Nothobranchius furzeri: one gene and its partner. The protein of the gene in region 1 binds, or shares a complex with, the protein of each later gene. Links are inferred from orthologs where the notes say so. Each region holds a gene or a part of one and is shown on either strand. Other genes may lie near its edges.

Region 1 (11,180 bases):
TAAAGTAACGTTCCCAACACTGGGAGTAACTGATGCAATAAAATACAATAACTTCATACTTTCTCAAATCCATCTAGAGCTCAAGTCATTTAATTTGATCGTGTTTGCCTTTTAAAATAAAGAATAAATATGTAGGAACATTATCACATTTCAGCCAACTACAATTTGAAGGTCTAGTTAATTTGGTAGCTGCTTTGCAGGAAGAAGGTCTCCAGTTCGAATCCCACCTGCCTTTCTGAAATGTTCCCCCCATGGATGTGATTTTCTCCAGATATCTGGTTTCCTCCTACAGAGTGAGGGTGTGGCTGATGTGTGTCTGTGGCTGGTCCCTTCTGGATGGTTATTGAATTTAAAAAGATACATAAACACTAAAAGCATGCAGTGATTTTTTTAAAAACTGTTAGCTGATCATTCTTCGAATGTCCAGCCACATGACCTGCATTAAAATGGCACACGTTAGCTTTAGCTAAAACACTCCGTTAGTAAACGTTGACCTGTGTGTTGATTAAGACTATTTTAAATAATTAAGGTAGTAATAAATTATTCAGCGACTGTTGTCTGATGCCAGATCTACTCATAATTGTCAGGTTTCTCAGTCAGAACCAAAGATCCTGAAACCAAAGGCTGTGCTTTTCAAGAAGGACTACATGACTTCTGTGTTGGCAGAGAGGAAGATGGGCTGGATGGTTTTCTTCATTGGGACATCAGATGGACAGCTCCTCAGGGTGAGTAGAGACGTTACAAGTGTCACACACCGGGGACCGGAGAGGTGGCTGTGTTCTCTGAGCTTCACAAACATTGTTGTGTCACATCTAGCACATTTCCTGATCACGACTGGCAAAACAGGGGAAGTGACAAAATCCTTTCAAAAACCTTTTGTGGTGTTTTTCATTTGTTTCTGGTGTGTGAGCTCATTATTGTCAGAGGAAAGAAGCAGGGCTCTGCTGAACATCCCATAATGAGTAGTGAGTAAACAGGCTGAGGTGAGTAGATGCCATCAGCACCGATTGTGTTGCTTCTATAAAACCGTCACACCTTTAATAAATACAAATGGACTGATGGATTTAATTGAGGACGTGTAAAAACTGAAGCTTTTGTGACAAGAAACAAATAAAAGACTTTGAAAGCAGTAAAGTCATTTTTCTTTTGTCTAATTAAACATTTAAATGTGCACCAACACTGAGCCTCTAGATCGGGGGTGTCAAAGATGTGGCCCGCGGGCCGGATCCGGCCCGCAAGCGGGTTAAATCCGGCCCGCGAGATGGTTGTGTGAACTTTGTTTTCATACTTTACAATGTAGAGTGAAAATAAACTTATCTTTATGAGCAAGTTTTCTCTGTAATGAGTATAAATAAAACAAAGCTGTGCTCAAGGCTCACACAAGAGCGTGAATCACATCCTGAAGTTGGCCGCCACTCAGGATGTGACTTCTGATATTGATGTGCTGGTGAAAGCTAAAAGATGTAAAGTAAAATGAGTCAAATATATTTTAAGTGCTGCATGAAACTGATCTAGCCATGTAATCTGAAAGCTCTTTGAATCACTAAGGAATGTTTTTTTTATTGATTGATTTTTTTAATTTTTTCAAAATTTCAAGTACACTTCAGGTGTTGTACTTGTACTATTTTGGATACACTGTCCTCAGGCTCCAGCCTTGTTTTATATTGATTGTATTAAAACAAAGAAAACAATCTGAAGCTGTTTTTAATTTACCGGTCCGGCCAACTTGGGACCAGATTTCCCTCAATGTGGCCCCTGAGCTAAAATGAGTTTGACACCCCTGCTCTAGATGTATTCACAATAACAACCTGTTGTCAGCTCTCTGTGGACAGGAACCTCCGCCCCACCTGTCCAAAGGTGCTCTACAGGGCCAGTGGGGACGTAAAGCTGTTACCCCAAATCTACCTGGATCCAGTGGATCACGAACATGTTTATGTTTCTGTTAAAAACCAGGTATTTGGATACTTTGCCCTTATCTTCATGTCACCTGTAACTACAGTGTTTAACTACTAAACCTTTGTGTTTGGTTGCAGGTTAACCGTGTACCAGTGTCAGAGTGCAACACACACACAGATAAGAAGGCATGCTGGTCTGCTCAGGATCCATACTGTGTGTGGTGTGTTGATGAGAAAAGGTCAGGACATCCTCAGCTGTGGTCAACGTCTCCAGGATGTTCTGAACTTGGTAATAATGTTTGACTTTGTTTCAGATGCACTCGTGAAGATGAATGTAAAGGTTCAGACTGGTTGTCCATCCCTGATGAATCCCAGAAGAAGATGATTTCCCACCGAGTTGTGGAGGATCCTAAAGGGCAGGTGAGATTTTAACAGGTTAGTGAATGGATTCATTTAGAACCAGATGATTTCAGCTGATGTTTTTCCTTTCATCAGATCAAAGTGACCATCCAGGCTCACCTGACTGTGAAAGCAGAGATGCGCTCTAACTTTTCCTGTCAGTTCTCCACAACCTCTGGTCAGCTTTGTATGCAGTCTGGCTCTAAACCGCATTACCCACAATGCACCTGCATTCTCTCTACTCATCGTGTGGATGGTTAGTGGGTTCAGTTTGGAGCAGGACAAACATTCATTGTTCACTGATTTGCAGCAACTTTATCTACAATAATACCAGAATTTAAATGATGGAAAAGAATAATGTCTCTTTGTTGCAATGATTTATATAAAGCTGCATGAAAAAAAATCACCAATAAACGAGGAGATTATTTTTACTAAAATAGCCTGGATTATGTTTCATTTGCAGGTGTTGATGTCACTGTAAGGATCAGAGTTGGTGCAGCGCAGCTGACGGAGAAACTACATCTGATCAACTGTTCTAACATCCAGGGAGAACCAAGTGATTTATTGTGAGTTCTGCTGTGTTTTAAAATCATGTAAAAGTGTTCAAATGTACAGAAAAAGAAAAATATCCATATCCAAAAGTCCACTGATTAATAAGCATGTTTGTCAAAACTGCCCAACCTGAAATAAAATAAGATGCTGCAAATAATGTGAGGAGAAATTTTCCTTTTGTGGCAAAAATGATCAGATGAAGAACAAAAATCGTACAGAAGATGTTAAATCTGAAATATTCACAGTCTTTATGACTGGAAATAATTTAATTCTCTTTTGGGCAAAAGTTGAGGATTCATCCTTTAGACCATCTTTCATCCACTGGGTGGTATTTTATGCTGTAGTTTTGTAAATGATGAGTGTGTTTGTGTTTAACTGAGTCTGATGAGCTGCATGGGACCGTTTCCTGTTCAGGTGTCAGCGGTGCATCACAGCTGGGTGTGGATGGAGAGACAACAGCTGTTCCTGGGCCAGTCCACAAGTGCAAAGTGTAAGAGTGATTTTTTTCATGCTTTTATAAATATTCCCATTTGTTATTTTTGTACATTTTAATTCTCAAATATTTAATTACATTTCTACTTTTCTGCTACAGGACAGCATTTGCACCAACATTACGTCTGATGTGAAGTTTTCTGTAAGTCTGAATTTCAGTTCTCTCTCTGATGTTTCCCTTAAACTCGTTCATTCTAACATCATTAGTGACTTTTGTATTAAAGCTGGTTACTTTGTGTGTTTTCTGTCAGAAGCCAGAGATCTCCTCCATCACTCCCAGTAACGTGTCTTTCTACGGCAAAAACCACGCTGTTCTGTCAGGTCGTGACCTCCAGGATGTAATCGGAGTGAAGATCCTGAAGGACTTGAGCTGCAGTCCACAGGAGTGAGGATCTACATGAACTAGCTCTAGACTTTTCAGTAGCTTTTTATGTGAAAGGCTTTCTGGTAACACCATTCTGGGACTTGTAGTTTTAGATGTTTTAGTGTTTTATATCTATAGACCCTTTCCTCCTGACCAACTGCACTTCAAACGTTTCTTCTGTGGAGGACATTTGTCAAATGGAATATCTATTTCTTTCATTTAAATGAAGTAACTCATTTAGAGCTTTAAAGACTTCCTGGAGTGTTTGAACGACACCAAGGGGTTGAGGTTGGGTTTGGGGAATTTCATTTTTCTTTTTTAAAAAAAAGGCATCCATTACTGCAAGAACATTTGATAACTAGAGGAAAATAAAGTCCATTCTAATATTTATTTGACCTGAAATGTTAGTGGTATTAGAAACTCTTAAAGAATACTCAGCCTTGAGTTCGACCTGTCTGGCACAACCTACACCTCTGATATTTAACAAATTGAACACGCCACACTTTCACCAAATAAATCATTCAGATTGTTTTGATTTTTAGGATAAACAATTGTTTTTTTTTTATTTGTACTTTTTCTAATCAGATTGCACAATTTTTTATACCACTCACCCGCTCTCCTCATCCACCAAATAGATTAAATTACAACGTACTTTGACAGAATAAAACTTTATGATATTAGTGTATATGGATGGATGGATGGGTGGGTGGATGGATGGATGGATGGATGGATGGATGGATGGATGGATGGGTGGGTGGGTGGGTGGGTGTGTGGGGATAGATGGATAGGTAGTTAGATAGATAGATAGATAGATAGATAGATAGATATATAGATAGATAGATAGATAGATAGATAGATAGATAGATAGATAGATAGATAGATAGATAGATAGATAGATAGATAGATAGATAGATAGATAGATAGATAGATAGATAGATAGATAGATAGATAGATAGATGGTGGGTGGGAAGATGGGGATAGATGGATAGATAGATAGATAGATAGATAGATAGATAGATAGATAGATAGATAGATAGATAGATGATAGATAGATAGATAGATAGATAGATAGATAGATAGATAGATAGATAGATAGATAGATAGATAGATAGATAGATAGATAGATAGATAGATAGATAGATAGATAGATAGATAGATAGATAGATAGATAGATAGATAGATAGATAGATAGATATTTTTGCAGGATTTATTATACCCGGATATTTATTGTATCCAGTTTAACGGTTTCCTCTCTGTGTTTTCCTGTGCTCTCTGGTCAGATCACCTGTGTGGAACAAAACTGGTGTAAATCTTACGTTCCACATTCCCAGTACAAATGCCAAAGGAGCGGTGAAAGTGTGTGTTCTTCTCCCTGATGGTAGTTGCCATGGTAATGCTGAAATCATCTATCAGTCAGCACCAATCTGCAGTGGTATTGTGCCAAGCAGCTCCTGGATCAGGTGAGTTTTTGTTCTAGTTTTATATGTTTCTATGGAGAACCAGTGAGATATCATTCAATTCAAACAGGTTTTATGGATTTTAAAGGTCATGGTCTAGGTCAACTGTGTAAATGGGCAGGCTCAGGCACCATGCCGGGCCAGAGTCAGACCCACGGCAGGTGTGGAGAAAATGCTGTAAACAAATAATGCTTTCAGAAATATAAATAATGATTACAGCCAAAGTAACAGCCTAATTTCTTCCTGTTAGTACATTGGTTATTACAAAAAATACCCAATTATAAAATATATTAAGAAAGACAAGTTTCAGTATGATCTCGCATCCTGAACACGTATCAGGCAACAACAGAGAAAAATATTTATAAAATAATAAAACCTTTTGAGCCAGAATCAGGACGGCTGGTAATCTGCCTAGACTGGGTGGGACTGGGAGGACAACAAAGACCTGGGGGGGTTGCACAAATAATCGGCTGGAAATTCCTATTTGAGTTTTAAGACTTTAGTTTTCGTTATTTCTTGTTTGAAAAATTGAAATGTGCTTACTTAATTCAGTGTAGTCACTTATAAACACTTGTTCAATGCCTGAGGAGACTATGGTGGCTGTTAGCTGGTGACTTAGAGGGACAACAGTTGGGAATGGGTGTCATGTCCTCTCCTCACACCTGTTCTGTGTTCCACAGCGGCAAAAGGAAGGTCACGCTTCATGGAACCAACCTGCATTTTGTGGACGGTATCACACATGACCACATGCATAATCATGCTATACTTCCCAGGACCAGCAGCTATCAGGTAGATCTGCAGCCAGCAGGTTCATCTGATGGTTAGCATGCTAACAGTTGGACCACATGTTGTTTAATCCTACTCCTTTATTTCACTCAAAGACATCATTGTACTAAAAGGTTTCTTGTAGATGACTTTTTATAGCCACCTGTTTAAATACATGGAGTTTGTGTCCAGCATGATCGATGAGCTAACAGCTAGTACAAGTGCAGCAACAACTATTTGCAAAATGTGTTTGTCCCATCTTAAGAGTTCTTTAAAATTTAACTGAGGTTCCTGTAAAGACTGTTTATATACACTTGATACTGTCATTAGTTTCACATCACGGTATTATACGGCAGAAATATGAAATCCCTGCAGCACTTGACCCCTGGACACTCTGAAATTGTTAAAGTTTGCTGATGGTGGTGATATTTACAGAACACATTAAAAAATGGAATCAAGAAATTTCAGTGGAAATAACACTGTAATGCAAAGCAGACGATGTAACAGTTACAAAAGTAAACCCTTGGGAGATTAAAGCTGTTTTAAAACAGCAGCTTTTCACTTTGGTCTTGACTAAGCTCGAACTAGCCGTTAGCTCCTCAGTCCTGAATGACACACATTCTATTTCACTGAAAAGAGGTTATTAGGAAAGCCATCTGCACTGGATTCTGGTAGTATTCATAAATCTGCATTAAAACACGACAAAAAAGCAGAAAATAACTTTTTTAAGCTGCAGCTGATATAAGCTCAGTTTAAAATTCTGTCTCATAATGAATACCTTTCTGCAGAATCTCACCTATGAAACACCTGCAGCTGAAAAAACTCAGAAGAGCTTCGTGTCTATGAGAGTAGCCAATGAGACCTTGTCCTGCACTCAAATAACCTACTACAAAGACCCGGAGTTCACCAGTTTCAGCGCTGTGAGGGAAGGAAAAGATGTTCGCATAGTGATTCAAGTAAGGCTTAGTTTTTCTTGTCGTCATGGATGAAATCAGCTTATAAAAGATAACTCTTTGTTGTCCTTCCAGAAAAAGGCTGATGAATTGAACATGTCAACGGCAGAGTTGTCAGTTTGGGGAATTCGGGAAGAGGAGATGCATTTCTGCAGCATAGAAGGCAAAGAAAGCAGCAGCGAGATTGACTCAATCAGCTGTGAGATCAAAGGAATTCAGGAGGTTAAATTTAACCAGTTAGAGGTAAAATCTAAAGTCTTAGAGTCATATTATTGAACATTATACATGCATAATGGTGCCTCAAGGAAGGATAAAATAAAGGAACTGAGGAAATTAGAGTTGAACACCATCATTCCTTCGTAAATCTCTAACATGCACACCTAAAACATCTGGAATTTATACTGGTTTATTATTTCAGTTTGTCAGTAAAGCCTGGTTTTCTCTCTCTTGTAGCCAGAAAACTGAATTTAGGATTCAACAAAACCCCGTGTTTTCTATAGTTTTACTCCGTTAACCACACCCAGAACTCTTAGTTCAAAAAGAACAAAACCAGCATAGTCATGCTCGGGCTCACTTCCCCTTGCTAATTTTAAAACTGTTTACTTTTCTCCATCACTTTCAGCACTCCCCCCTCAGTGTTTTCTTCATGGTGGCACTGTTGTACACTGATGTGGCAGTGTGAGCGTCCTGTCACAGTGTCCCTATTGATCATGCGCCCTGGCTACTTAGCCAAGGGGATGTCCCTTTGGTTGACTGGTTAGCGTGCATGACTCTCCCCCGGGAGTCTGGGGATCGAATCCCGCCCGGGCCCTCGCTTCTCCACCATGATACACTACGTACACGGTTAGGGGCATTCAGAATAGACCGATGTACTTGAAAGGTGTGAATATAAATAAAGGAGTTACTTTCCTTTTCATGCAAATAGTAAGATCCAAAAGTGTGCTGTTGTTCAAGGTACCACGGGTCCTTCCAGGTTCTGGTACTGACCGTGTGTGTTCCAGAATCATCAGCTCAGTTCCTTTCAGAGGGAAATTAAACTCCACACAAACCTAAACTGTTTCCATGCTCTTCTGTTTCAGATCAGATATGGAGACAAGTCCATAAAACTCAGTAATTCCTCGTCAAATCTCATTTTCATGTTGTTTGCCCTTCTGCTGATACCCGTTATTGTTGCTGGTGAGTAAAGCTGAGTGACTACAGCTTGTTTTTGGATCTCTACCAGCATCGCACACACAAACTGGAGGGTTGGGTTTGGACCTTTTCTCTTTCTGTCTGTCCAGTGGTGGTGGTAGTCTACCAGAGCAAGCAGAAGAAGCTCACTGCAAAGATGAACAGGTTAATAGAGGACCTGGAGCTAGATATCAGAAAAGACATCAGACAAGGTCAGTCACTTCTCTGACAGTAAAAGAAGAAATCTGAGCACAAAGTCCTGATTTTAGTTTTCTTATAAAAGACTGGATGTTTCGAGGTTTCTCACCGTGTTAAACGGTAGTTTAGACACATCTAACTGCAGAGAAACCATTTAGTTGGTGACACGTGAAACCTTCTTACACTGAAATAAGTGAAACATCTGTGTAATTCAGTTTAATTGAAAATTCACATTGTTTTAATTCAGAAATTGTAATTTCTTGTTTAAACCTGTTTATTTCACTTTCCTAAAATTAAAAGTCACTCACTTTGAAAGAAACCAAGAAAAACAATTTGTCCCGAAGTAAATGTAGACTTCAAATCCATGATGATTGTGTCACATGATCACATGACGTCACTCAAACTGCTCGATCCTGTTGTTTGCGTCTGCCATTACCTCAAGAGGATCTGAAGAACTTCAGTATGTATTTATGACATCATATGTTGTTGGTGGCAGTAAAAAAGAGTGTTTCCTAATAAACTCTGTCTGTGTCATTTAGGACAAAATAGGTCCTGAAAAGCTAAATCTGATCTCCCACAGTGGCTCTTACACCTGCATAGTTCATTAGCAAACTCCACCCCTTTATTCTATAAGTTGCAGTAGCTGCAGGGGGCGAGGTGCATTGTGGGTTGTCATGTTTTTAGTTAGTTTGTTCTATTGTGGGGTGTTTATGCATGTTTATTTTGGGGTGATGTGTTATTTTTAGTTATTACTTTGTTCACTGTTGCAAATGTGATGTTACTTGTTGTGCCGTGCTGGCACCATAAGCGAGGAGGTTGGTGAAACGAATGGCACCGCTGTGCTGATCTCCTCTCATGGCAACAGAGGTGGTGCTGGGTCACACTAAATTTGCAGGATGTCACTGCTTGCATTTCTCTCTGGCGGGATTTTTCAAATTTAGAAGATGTATGAGGGCACTAGTGAGCCATTGTTGAACTTTCTGAAGTGTTGTTACTTTAATTGTGATTTAGTGGAGTTAAAATGTAGGAGTTAAAATATTAAGTAACTAAATATTCTGGTGCACTCTTTCTCACAGCTGCTGTGCTGCTGATTTGGAGACACACTCTCTTATTAGGAGCACTCTGCTAATGCTAGATTAGACACATTTTTATCTTTAGAGTCACTTCAAAGCTTAGTGCGAGAGAGAGAGAGAGAGAGAGAGAGAGAGAGAGAGAGAGAGAGAGAGAGAGAGAGAGAGAGAGAATCTGATGATGATCATTTAACTGAGGTTAATCAGGACCAGTTACCATATTGTGAAAGTGGTGACTGTAAAAGTAAGTCACGTAACACAAAATAAAACCGCCTATAAAGTTTCTATTAGTGAGGTCAGTACCGTGTTATTTTATGTGTTTTACTCCAGATGAATCAGAAATAGGGGAAACAATTTTTTAAAATCTTTATTTTAATTGGAAACATTTCCAATTCTTTTCAGATCTCCTTGTTAGGTCATTCTGTAAACTCTGCACAAACTGGTTTCATTTTCACTTCTTTTATTCATGTTTGAGTCAGAGAGAGCCATCCAGGTTCAGCTTTTGCATCCAGCAGGAGTTAGCTTTATTAGGAGGTTAGCTTAGATCATTGCGACTGCAGAGGCTGAAGGTCTGATCACCTCAATAAATGCAAGAGTCATTTTGCTTATTTTGTGAAATTGTCCAATAGCTCAGTCTAAAAATCTATTTAGATCAATAATTTCAATAATTGCTATAGTAGTTATTTTTACCATGCTGGCAGGATCTACCGGGATTTTACACAACCTGAGTATTATTGCTGACCATGTCCATCCCATTATGAGCACACGAACCCATCTTCTGATAGCTACTTCCAGCAGGATCATGCAGCATATCGCAAAGCTCAGATCATCTCAGACTGGTTTCTAGAACATGCCCATGTGTTCACGAGACTCCAGAGGCATAGACGCAGCAACAGTGCAATGTTGGCCATTTTAATTTCCTCTCTTTTTGTTTGATGGTCTTATTTTCACCAGAATCTTAACCCTCCCACTGTCCAAATGGGTGATCCCACGAGGAAACTTGACCATTGAGCAGGGTTGATGGTTTATCCCTTGAGGTCCACGTGGCTGGGGTGAGGTGGTGCTCAGGGGCGGATTTAGCAATTTGGGGGCCCAAGGCGAACACAGACATGGGGCCCCTTACACTAAATTTTCGACAATCTTACCTTTAACTGGATTTGCGAAACTCTCCCCTCTTCTGACATGAGTTATTTTCCCTTTTTATTAGTCCTCCTCTTTTTTCCTGTACTTCCCTCCCTTTGAGTGCTTTCAATATTTGCTCTGCTTTCTTCTTTCTGTCAGTGCTCCTGTGCTTTAGCCTTAGTTTTTTTTTTTCTATTTTCCATTTTGGTCTATGTTTTCCGCCCTTTAAACATTTTCCATTGTCTTTCCTTTTCTGCTTCCTTTTGATGTTTACATCGAAAAACGACGTCACATTCAGAAGTGAAGATAAAAGCTTTTATGAAGCATGCTGCTTCTTTCTCTTATTGGAGCCACTAGGATAACTCCATTTCATGCTTAATGTTTTGACTATCGCTTTGAGTTTGTTACGAATGCTCCCGCCTCTCTTATTATTATTATTTGTGGTCTTATGGCACTTGGCAAACAACAATTTGGTGCATTACCGCCACCAACTGGATTGGAGTGGAATGACTACCAATCACTTCCTGTTTGTGCATCGCCGTCTTAATAACCCTCTTATGACCATAATTATAACAGGGCCGCCTGGTATTTTTTTTAATCTTATGGCTGTAAAATTGTAATAAAAAGTGCAAAGTGTGTGTAACTCTTCTCCTTTTTTCAGAACAACCTCAGCTTTCAGTGTATGGTTTGTATTTCCAAACCACTATAACATTTCACGAAAAGAAACATGAAGCCACTTCTCC
Region 2 (9,499 bases), on another chromosome or scaffold:
AAAGGAAGGAGACAGAGGCAAACCCAGAACTTGAATGCTGGGTGAGATCTGATTGCAAATGAGTTTGTGTGCCTGAGTCTGAGACTAAGTTCATTTGGTTGAAATTTGTTTTTCTGAGTGTTTAAAAAGGAAGCAACCGAGTGCTTCTTTTTCCAAATAAAAGAACTGGTACAGTCATCATGTGGAGGGCAGCAGCGCTGAAGTTTAGTCTGAATGAGGAGGGATGCACCCATTGAGATTTTCCTTCTATAAACTGTGTAATTTAATGACCCAGTGACCAATGCTGAATATAAACACATGCTTAATGTTTAAACTATGACCACATGCACACGTGTTGTCTGGAGCAACAAAGACAGGAACATCTAGAAACGCACCAGGTAGTCCCCACAGCAACTTTGCAAAAGCGAACAGACCTCGTGCGCCAACCATCAAGTAGTTATGGAAAACATGAACAGCATGAACTCAGAGCAAATGTTCCAGAGTTCCACCTGTTTATGTAACATGTTTTCTAATCTAAAACTGGTCAGACATGCCATCTGTGAAAACAAAAACTCCCGGTGACCGTGAGTGCAAAAGTATGCATGCAAAAATAAACCATTTTAAAGAAGATGTGTTTTCTTAAAAAGTACCATAGCAACAAAACCGACTCTCACCGTTCCCGGTCTTGGATGAGGAACTTCTTTGTTGTAGCCCTTGAAAGATGAATTCTCAAAGACAGTCTCGATCGTTTCTATTGAGTAAACGCAAACCGCAGAAGAGTTCCTAAAGCAGAAATAAATACAACTGAGGTCAGCAGATGGTGAATACCATAGTGATTGCATTGTTTTAAGCTGGCATCGCTCCAAACTGGTCTGGTGAGGGCGTCTCAGTGTTGTGGTATGATGTTTTGGAAACTTGTGTAATAACTAAAACCCAAGACACTGCGATCTCTGGCGTTTTGATGCCCGTTTGTTCCCTTTGTTGTTCCTTAGTTTCTGACAACAAAACAAAACAAAGAAGAAAATGTTACAGAAAAGTGTTGTACCAGCTGCTTGAAAACAACGCGTAGACTTTGGTGTCACGCCAATCCTCAGCATGCATCACAAAGATGTCTTGGAGACGGTTAAAGTACAGCGACTCGTCTGGAAATCCACAGACAAGCCGAGCCTTGAGGAAAGAGGTCCAAGTATTCTGGAAGAATCTTTTTGATCCACCTTCATCCACCTGCATCATGACACAGAGACAAGGAACAGACTGACTAAGTTATTCTATACCACTAACATTGCAGCCACCTTCCCAAGTGAAGTTAAACACCAAACCCCTTTTAGGGCTAGTCATGTTTTCGAGAAGCTTTTGTAAACACTACCACAGTGGCATGAGAGGGATACCGCCTTATTGCAGAAGCATGATTTAATAAGTTTTTTAAATGTTCCTCATGGTGCACGGAAAGTATTAGCTGAATTTCGTCTTTGCATGTACAATTAACTGCCATGAAAATAACTTCCTGTTAGGGTATTATACTCTCCATGACGACAGTGTCAATATATCCATGTAAAGTGCACTTCTGCTTAAACTAGAAACAGTCCTTGCCCTTTACATTGTTCCTGTTAGAAACAGATAAAGGTCAGTTACCTGACAGGTAACCTACTGCTTATTTCAGATGGAAAAGGATGTTTTTCAATCTGTCATCAGCTACATGAAGATGTACACATCAGGGCTGCACGATATTAGAAAAACGTGATGCACGATAACAGTGATTAATATTGCAATGACAATATGACTTGCAATAAATAAACAACTACTTAACTCAAGAACAAAAAAACTAAATAAAAAAACAAAGAAAGAAATAAAAAAAATATTTTAAAACAACAACAAAAAACATAAAAATGGGAAAAACAAAAAATGTTATCAGAAGATGTGAGCAAAGAGAAAAAGAAAATGAACAAGAAAAGGCAAACAGTGAATCCAGGGAAAAGAAGAATCAGCAGAAAGAGCAGAACAATGCTAACTCAGGTGTTTGCCAGCCATCCAAATTAAGTGGTGTCCGCATAGGGGGTGGGCATCTAACCTATAAGAACGCACCCGATTGGCCAAATGGGTGAAGGGCTCTATTTGATTAGTCAAAAACGTCATGCTTCAAACGGAACACAATGTGTGATGCAGACATTTGAGCTGACCATTCATTATGTTTTTTCTGTTCTTTTTAATGTATTGTGCAGCCCGAGTACACACACACACACACACACACACACACATATATATATATATATATATATATATATATATATATATATATATATATATATATATATATATATATATATATTAGGTGTTTCTCAATGTCAAGGAACCTTGCCTTGATGTCTTGGCCCCGCCTCAGGTGGCTAGGAGATACGTCATCAGGAGCCGCCAAGACGTGTTCCAGTCGGTTCCAATGTTCAGGTTCTACCGAGGCGTGTGTTCTCTGTTTGTTAGCCGTTTAGCTAGCTGAGCGAGGATACACGGGAGGTGTCTTGTTGTCTAGCCTTGGTCAAAAATTACCCAGAATACACGCGGTATTTTCAAAAGGACGGTGGATCAGAAGCCGGCAGCTACTTTATGTTTATGTTTATGTTTATGTATTTAGCAGACCCTTTTGTCCAAAGCGACTTACTTTGGGGACAATTTTCAAGTTTAAAAGTAAGTCAACTAATTTTAAATGATTTATTTATTTTTTTTTTAGATCCAAAGAAGTTATCTATTGTTGGTTAGATGCTTATTAGTTGCAGCTTCGGTGGCTAGCGGGTAACTCACTTATATTTTTAATTTAATAAACATATACACAATTTAAAAAGTAAAAGGCTCGTTATATATTTATATTGAAACTAATACGTATAAAATATAACGTTGTCTCCCGTGTCACGTGATGTTACATGACCGCTGTGGAAGCCACGGTCACGTGATGCAAGTCTGTTCCATTTAACCGTTTTCTTTGACCAAGGAAGGACAGTGTCCTCGTAAGCAAGGCACCTGGCCTTGCAAGACATTGCCTCGCAAGGCAAGGCGCCTTGACATTGAGAAACACCCATTATCTTGTGTGTTGTACAGTTTTAAAGGTGTGGTTCACTTGTTTATTATTTGTAGTGGTATACAGTATGATTGAATGCCTTTCAATTCGTACTCAGGGGGAAAAAAGCTAAGATGCGCTTGTTTCAGAAACTTGCAGAATACCACACCAGAGAAGAGCTCAACATGGCAGGATCTATTTGGACATCTCGCCTGTGATTGGATAACAGCAACGACTCTGCCACTAACTCTGTTTTCTCTGCAACGTTGATGTTTATCTCCACAAATAACTCAACCCTGGAGGTGTTCTGTTGTGTGGTGGAATTGTTAATGCTAACAGTTAGCTTTTACTAGTTGAGATGTTCTGTTTCCTGGATGCTAAACCAACAACAGCCTTCCCTGTCATGAGTCAAGATGGGTGAGTCCATGAATGTTAAGTGACAGTGCGATGTTACACTGTCAGGCTTTTCAAATCCTTGTCAGGTATAGGGAACTGGACACAAAAGCAAGGCTGGGGAATGAGGAGGTAAAAGGCAAATGTCCTTTATTAAGACAGAGGTCAAAAAGGCAGGTAAATATTCCAACAAGCTAATTCAAGTTAGCAGGCAAAAAGAGCAGAAACGGTTGCACCAAAACCAAGTCAAACATACTGAGAGCAAACACTAATCACGGCTGGAACGAAGAGCTAGAAGACAACAACGAACTGGCAACTGAAAAGGAGAACAAAGAGAGATTAAATACAAGTGAACACAGCTAGGATTAATCTGGTTAACGAAGGACAGGAAATGACACAGAGGAGAGAGGAAAATGTCAAAGTAAAACAGGAAACAAAGAGCTGGACTCCTGGCAGGGTGTGACAATCCTAGAGTTTCATCTATTTTCTATCAGAAGCTAAAGCAGGAGATAGGTGTAGGAGACTATTTTCATGTTCAGCCTGTATGAAAAACTCAGAGAGACTTATAATCAGAAATAATAATTTAAAAAATGTATCTTTTTGTGTGTGGTTCACTCCTTTAAAAGTACAATTAAATGTTTTAATTTTAGGCTGCGCAGTGGTGCAGTGGTTAGAGCTGTTGCCTTGCAGCGAGAAGGTCCTGGGTTCGCTTCCCGGCCTGTGATCTTTCTGCATGGAGTTAGCGTGTTCTCCCTGTGCATGCGTGGGTTCTCTCTGGGTACTCTGGCTTCCTCCCACAGTCCAAAAACATGACTGTCAGGTTGATTGGTCTGTCTAAATTGTCCTTAGGTGTGTGTGTGTGTGTGTGTGTGTGTGTGTGTGTGTTTGTCCTGTGTGTCTCTGTGCGTCCCTGCGATGGACTGGCTCTCTGTCCAGGGTGTACCCCGCCTAATTGCCCGTTGACTGCTGGAGATGGGCACCAGCCCCCCGCGACCCTACGTGGACAAAGCAGCTTCAGAAGATGGATGGTTTTAATTTTATTATAAAACACATTTTCTTGCACTGAAATGCAAACTGATCTTCAGCAGAAGCTGGAAGCTTCTGATAAACATACATCATATATCATGTAAATATTAGATATTCATAAAATATCTATTGCACCAACATTCATGCAAATTTATTTTAGATTATTTAACTTATGGAATACCTTTATCTTCAGAAGTTTATTGGTTTCTATAGTGACACTCCATCCAGAGGTCCTGAATGGTTTAAAATAGTTCAAATTTGTCATTATTGTCTTCAAGGTGAACTATGATCAACCTAACTGAACATCTGTATGGAAAAAAAAATTTGGTAGAGTTTCAAAGCCTTGAGAAATCAACCCAAAGGCACCCTGAGGGGTTTTTGGCAGTACATCACCACCTTGCATAAATATTTTCTATGTGATTACAACCTAGCTGTACATTTTTGTCACTTATTTAATATTTGGGGTTTTCCCTTGTTTGACAGAAAATGAGCAAATTAAAAATAAATGTGTTTTTATGGGTGTGGGTCCAGTCGCCTGCACAATGGAGGTTCAGAATCTCCTGTGTTGAGCCCGTACCTTACACACTCTGGCCACTCTAGAAATCCAGGGATCAGCTTCTGGGCTGTGGTCGGAGTTCTTCTCACGAAAAAATATGTAGATTTTTTCATTATCAGGGTCATCCTCGCGCTTTACCCAGGATGCAGAGATGAATGTGGGCTCTGTGAAAAAGGACGTCATGTTTTAGCAACAGCACCAGAAGGCAGCTTGAGTGATGAGATGTTCAGATTCAATACAGTTAAAATTAAAAAATTAAAGTTGCTTGTTTCTACAACAAAAAGAAGCATGGGAGTGTGCTACTAAAATTAATTCGTTTGAGTGCTGCTGTATATACTTTACACTGCCAAATGAAACTGCTTCCCTTTAAAGTTGCCGCTGTAAACTGAAAATTGCCCGTCTGTGCAAACGCACGGTTTGCTGACAAAAAAAGCGTTGTGCCTGCACTTTCACTGACACGCAAGCAAATAGTTCAATTGGATCTAATTTCCTTCATTGAGCCGTTTTCCTTGAATTCCTGAAAATGTATTATTTCTGTTTACCTTTGGGTTGCTGAGAAACAAAGCTACGTGCCATCATTAAGCCAGATATGTAAATAATTTGGTTTGAAGGCACATCACAGATGTAATAACGGGTTAGGGCTCCTACACTAGAAACAACCTGCTGTAATTCTCACCTGAGACCCAGCTGTCATACATCCAAACGTTTGTTCTGCTGCCTGCTTTTCTCCTGAACTGTAGTGAGCTTCCCTCAACATCCAAAGGTGCTGCTGCATACAGGTCTCCATCTGCACAACAGCAAAGATCACTTCAAATACTTTACTTCAGTTTATGTCAGTTTTATTATAGTCCTGAGTCATATCTGATGCCTTAAACACATTTTAAACACGTAGAAATCTATATTTACCAACTGCGAGTGACAAGGAGTTTTGCGTGTAGACAAATGGGGAGATGCCGGTCCCCTCATAGCTCTCCACTATTTCATAAGACTGGTTACTTACAGAAGGGAACTATAAAGAACGACAGAAAATGAAACAGTCAACAGTCCAATATGATGTCCTGAGAGCTGCAGTGGAAAACACATAAACAAATGATGAGATACCAGATAGCCTACTTAATTATGTAGCAGGGAACTCAAATAAAGTTTCCTTAGAACCCCTTAAATCAGCTTGGCCCTGCTGCCACAGTTGGGTTTATATTCAAGATGCATTCATCACTCACAAGCTCCCAGCACTTTGGATTGAGTCCATTTGTTCCACAGACAAAAACGCTGTCCTGAAACTTCTCGATTACGGTGATTTCATTTGTACAAGAGCCCTAAAAAAGACATTTGTCATTACAGAAAGGCAAAAAGTCACTTGTAAGTCGCTTTGGACAAAAGCGTCAGCTACATACATAAACATAAACATAAACATAAAAAGTCACATTTTGTAAATCTGCTGCTACTTACTTCATGACATTCATGCTGCTCTGTGGTCTTCAGTGGATATTCCTGTCAGAGAACAAATTTGTTCCTCTAATTAACCAATCATACAATAAAAAGCACCAAATGGACCCTATTTATGAAATCATCATCATCATGGATCGTAGATATAAGAAGATTTTGAGCAGTTTTAGATTTTCTGGATCTGATTTCCAATCAGTTGGTTATCTTAAGAATTCAGCATTTTACAGTTAGAAAAAGTAATCAGATTTATTATGATGACCTGTTTAAAATGTTCCTGTTTTTTTAACTAATCTGCCATGAATAGATCTGTGCCAGCCATCTGTTACTTTGCTGTCTAATTACCACAAAATGCACCCAGTCTGGAGAAGAATTAAACTGAGAAGACGTGGAATAAGCAAACACAGCAGCAGGTGCCAAAGCGGAGCTCAGGACTTACCTCTAAGATGTGAAATTCGTTCACATCCAGTTTTAAAACAAAGTCAGTCCCACCAACATACAGTTCGTCTGAATCCTCCTGATATGAGAAGACGCTGTGGTTCTGATATGCGTCATACACATGTCCACCTTTGGTTAAACCTAAAAATAAAACAAGTAAATATAGCGTTGAGTCTCACCGAAACAGAATGATAGGAGCTCACCCACCTGTGATCAGGAGTCTAGGGCTTTTAGGCGAGCCGAGAGTCGGTGTTTCCTGTAAGTCTTTATTCTGAACAAGATGAAACTCGCCGAGCAGCAGGAGAGGAAAATAATAGAGTCGGTTCATAATTATTGCGCGCGAGAGAGCGGACAGTTCCGCTATCCTGTTAGGAGAACTGAGGCATCGCCTGTCTGCGATTATTGCATTATAGACCGGAGCAGTCACTCCTCTTCCTCCATCTCTGTCACGGTGTCACCACTGCGTTCGCAGGACGTAAACAAATGAAAAAGGCCAGATTTGCCTGCAGAGCCGCACAAGACCAAGTACACCATCAGTGCACACTAACGGAGAGGCGCACTTGTTTCGTCGGTGCCGCCCCTTGTGGTCACATTTGGAGCCCCAGGGAAGCCCCATAAATCATATTCACGTTAACACGAACCATGTATTATTTTTCCACACATTTAAAAACCCAATAGAGACATGCCACAATTTGTCACTAATTAAAAAAACTTTATTCTCACTACCAACCCCCCACGCAGCACCTCCCTTGCTCCCCCCTCTCACTTAGATCTGACCGGGTAAAATTTACTTACCTATAGATTGAGACACCCAAGATACAAAACTGAATGCCACCATAGATCATTCATTCATTCAACATGTAAGAACACAATTTTATATTTTCAGGATAACGGTTCCAGATATTTATACCTTTGACAGATATACAGTGATTTTTAATCATGAGTCTTTGGCCTTTCAATTCAATTCAATTTTATTTTATTTATATAGCGCCAAATCACGACAAGAGTAATCTCAAGGCACTTCACATAATAAACTTTCCAATTCAGGTCAGTTCATTAAGCCAATCAGAAAAAAAGTTTCCTATAAGGAACCCAGCAAATTGCATCAAGTCCACTGACGAGTGTCAGTGACTTTACAGCAATCCTCATACTAAGCAAGCATATAGCGACAGTGGAGAGAAAAACTCCCGTTTAACAGGAAGAAACCTCCAGAGGATCCTGGCTCAGTATAAGCAGCCATCCTCCACGACTCACTGGAGATCGAGAAAACAGAGCACACTCACACACACACACACACACACACACACACACACACACACACACACACACACACACACACACGTACGAGCACGCACACACACACACACATGCACGTACGCGCACGCACACACACACACACACACTATTATTTTGAATAATAAAGAACCTCTTTTGTCTGTTCATACTGTGTTTTTGTCTGTAATCCATATTTTTGTTATTTTCTTACACAGTTCAGTAAAAATTATTTATTTACCTCACGTGCAATATAAATAAATAATTTTTACTAAATTGTGTAAGAAAAGAACAAAAAAAATAATAAAGAACCTCTCCACGGTTTAACTGCTTCTGTCACTATCCTGTCACATTCTAACATCAAAGCTATATTTAATACTTGTGAAATACCTGGATGAATATTTTTATGTCTGTATCTTTATGCTGTTTCTTTGTGGAGAGTCGATTTTCTATTTTTACTCTATTCTTATTCTTTTTTGTTTGAGTGCTGAATGCTGGTATCCGATTAGCAGAGAGAAAGTTAAAAACATCTGGCAAGTTTCAGAAGGAGAAAGTAGGAGAAGCATGCAAAATCAGTAGTCAGATTGTGAGTTTTTTCTGGAGTAAAATAACCTAGAAGAGAGTCCAGATTACACCCAAAAGCAAAACAAAACCAGCACACCAAAGTACCAGGGCATCCTTCCACGGCACCATTTTGGTCAGTTATTCCCATAAGTACAGGATCAGCAAAGAAGTGGTCATGGCTAAACACCAGTACCTTGTCAACATTCAGCAGCAAATCTCTGAAAACAACTTGACCTCTGTGTGGAAAGTTTCAGCAACATTATGAACTACAAGCCCGAAAGCCCCGCCGCCACTAATCTGCCTAAACAACTTACTTCTATGGTCGGTTTGATGAACCATCATAGTGCAAGAGGTTCTGATCCATTCGGACCGGAACCTCTTGCCACAAAAGCGGTTTCTTCCCCTCCGCAGTTGGTCTCATGAATGACAATTCTAGGGCTGCCCACTCCAGTCGCTTTGTTTCAGTCACATGACCATGTAATGTGTTTGTACCTGAAGCCGTTTCTTTAACTATTGCCACTTCATATAATTATTTAATCATAATTATATTCTTACTTCCTTTATCTGCTTATCTCTTATTTTTTATCTTTCTTTTTTGCACCAATTACCGCACGGGCACAGCAGCATATTCCTAATGTTGTGATTTCTCGCATATATGGCAAAGAAACCCTTCTGATTTGATTAGGTTTAGTTGCAAAGGCAGAGAGTTTAAATGTGGTCAGACATGTGGATGAGTGACGTCAGAGAGCTGCAGAGAGATGCAGTACATGCCTGTTTTTCTG

Evidence for each region. Proteins that work in one complex are often made in the same cells at the same time.
Region 2: the proteins of plxnc1 (region 1) and sema7a are in contact, whole or in part, in a crystal structure (PDB 3NVQ), measured with the Homo sapiens proteins. The link is inferred for Nothobranchius furzeri from reciprocal best matches to the Homo sapiens genes PLXNC1 and SEMA7A. Residues at the interface, in NP_005752.1 of Homo sapiens: Arg131, Thr151, Glu152, Val153, Asn195, Pro196, Ala197, Ala198, Ser199, Asp200, His201, Thr203, Ala206, Lys208, Arg213, Ser214, Leu215, Ala216, Thr217, Gln218, Glu219, Leu220, Arg222, Lys224, Glu272, Ala350, Ser352, His353; in NP_003603.1 of Homo sapiens: Gln194, Tyr196, Asn197, Gly198, Lys199, Arg202, Arg204, Tyr213, Ser215, Asp216, Thr217, Gln270, Gly271, Gly272, Glu273, Ser274, Ser275, Leu276, Val278, Ser279, Lys280, Pro372, Thr375, Glu376, Phe378, Gln379, Asp382, Arg383.

Annotation. Positions count from the first base shown.
Region 1 is NC_091741.1:61,441,931-61,453,110, reverse strand, and holds part of plxnc1 (plexin-C1), read left to right. Parts: intron 1-587; coding exon 588-725; intron 726-1,818; coding exon 1,819-1,953; intron 1,954-2,033; coding exon 2,034-2,134; intron 2,135-2,209; coding exon 2,210-2,315; intron 2,316-2,390; coding exon 2,391-2,550; intron 2,551-2,757; coding exon 2,758-2,860; intron 2,861-3,260; coding exon 3,261-3,336; intron 3,337-3,438; coding exon 3,439-3,480; intron 3,481-3,589; coding exon 3,590-3,723; intron 3,724-4,982; coding exon 4,983-5,162; intron 5,163-5,839; coding exon 5,840-5,948; intron 5,949-6,712; coding exon 6,713-6,880; intron 6,881-6,952; coding exon 6,953-7,120; intron 7,121-7,956; coding exon 7,957-8,053; intron 8,054-8,157; coding exon 8,158-8,259; intron 8,260-11,180.
Region 2 is NC_091744.1:66,533,388-66,542,886, forward strand, and holds the start of sema7a (semaphorin-7A), read right to left. Parts: upstream 7,418-9,499; 5' UTR 7,210-7,417; coding exon 7,089-7,209; intron 7,023-7,088; coding exon 6,883-7,022; intron 6,492-6,882; coding exon 6,450-6,491; intron 6,317-6,449; coding exon 6,221-6,316; intron 6,010-6,220; coding exon 5,907-6,009; intron 5,788-5,906; coding exon 5,677-5,787; intron 5,165-5,676; coding exon 5,022-5,164; intron 1,204-5,021; coding exon 1,025-1,203; intron 763-1,024; coding exon 654-762; intron 1-653. UniProt on the Homo sapiens protein: Plays an important role in integrin-mediated signaling and functions both in regulating cell migration and immune responses.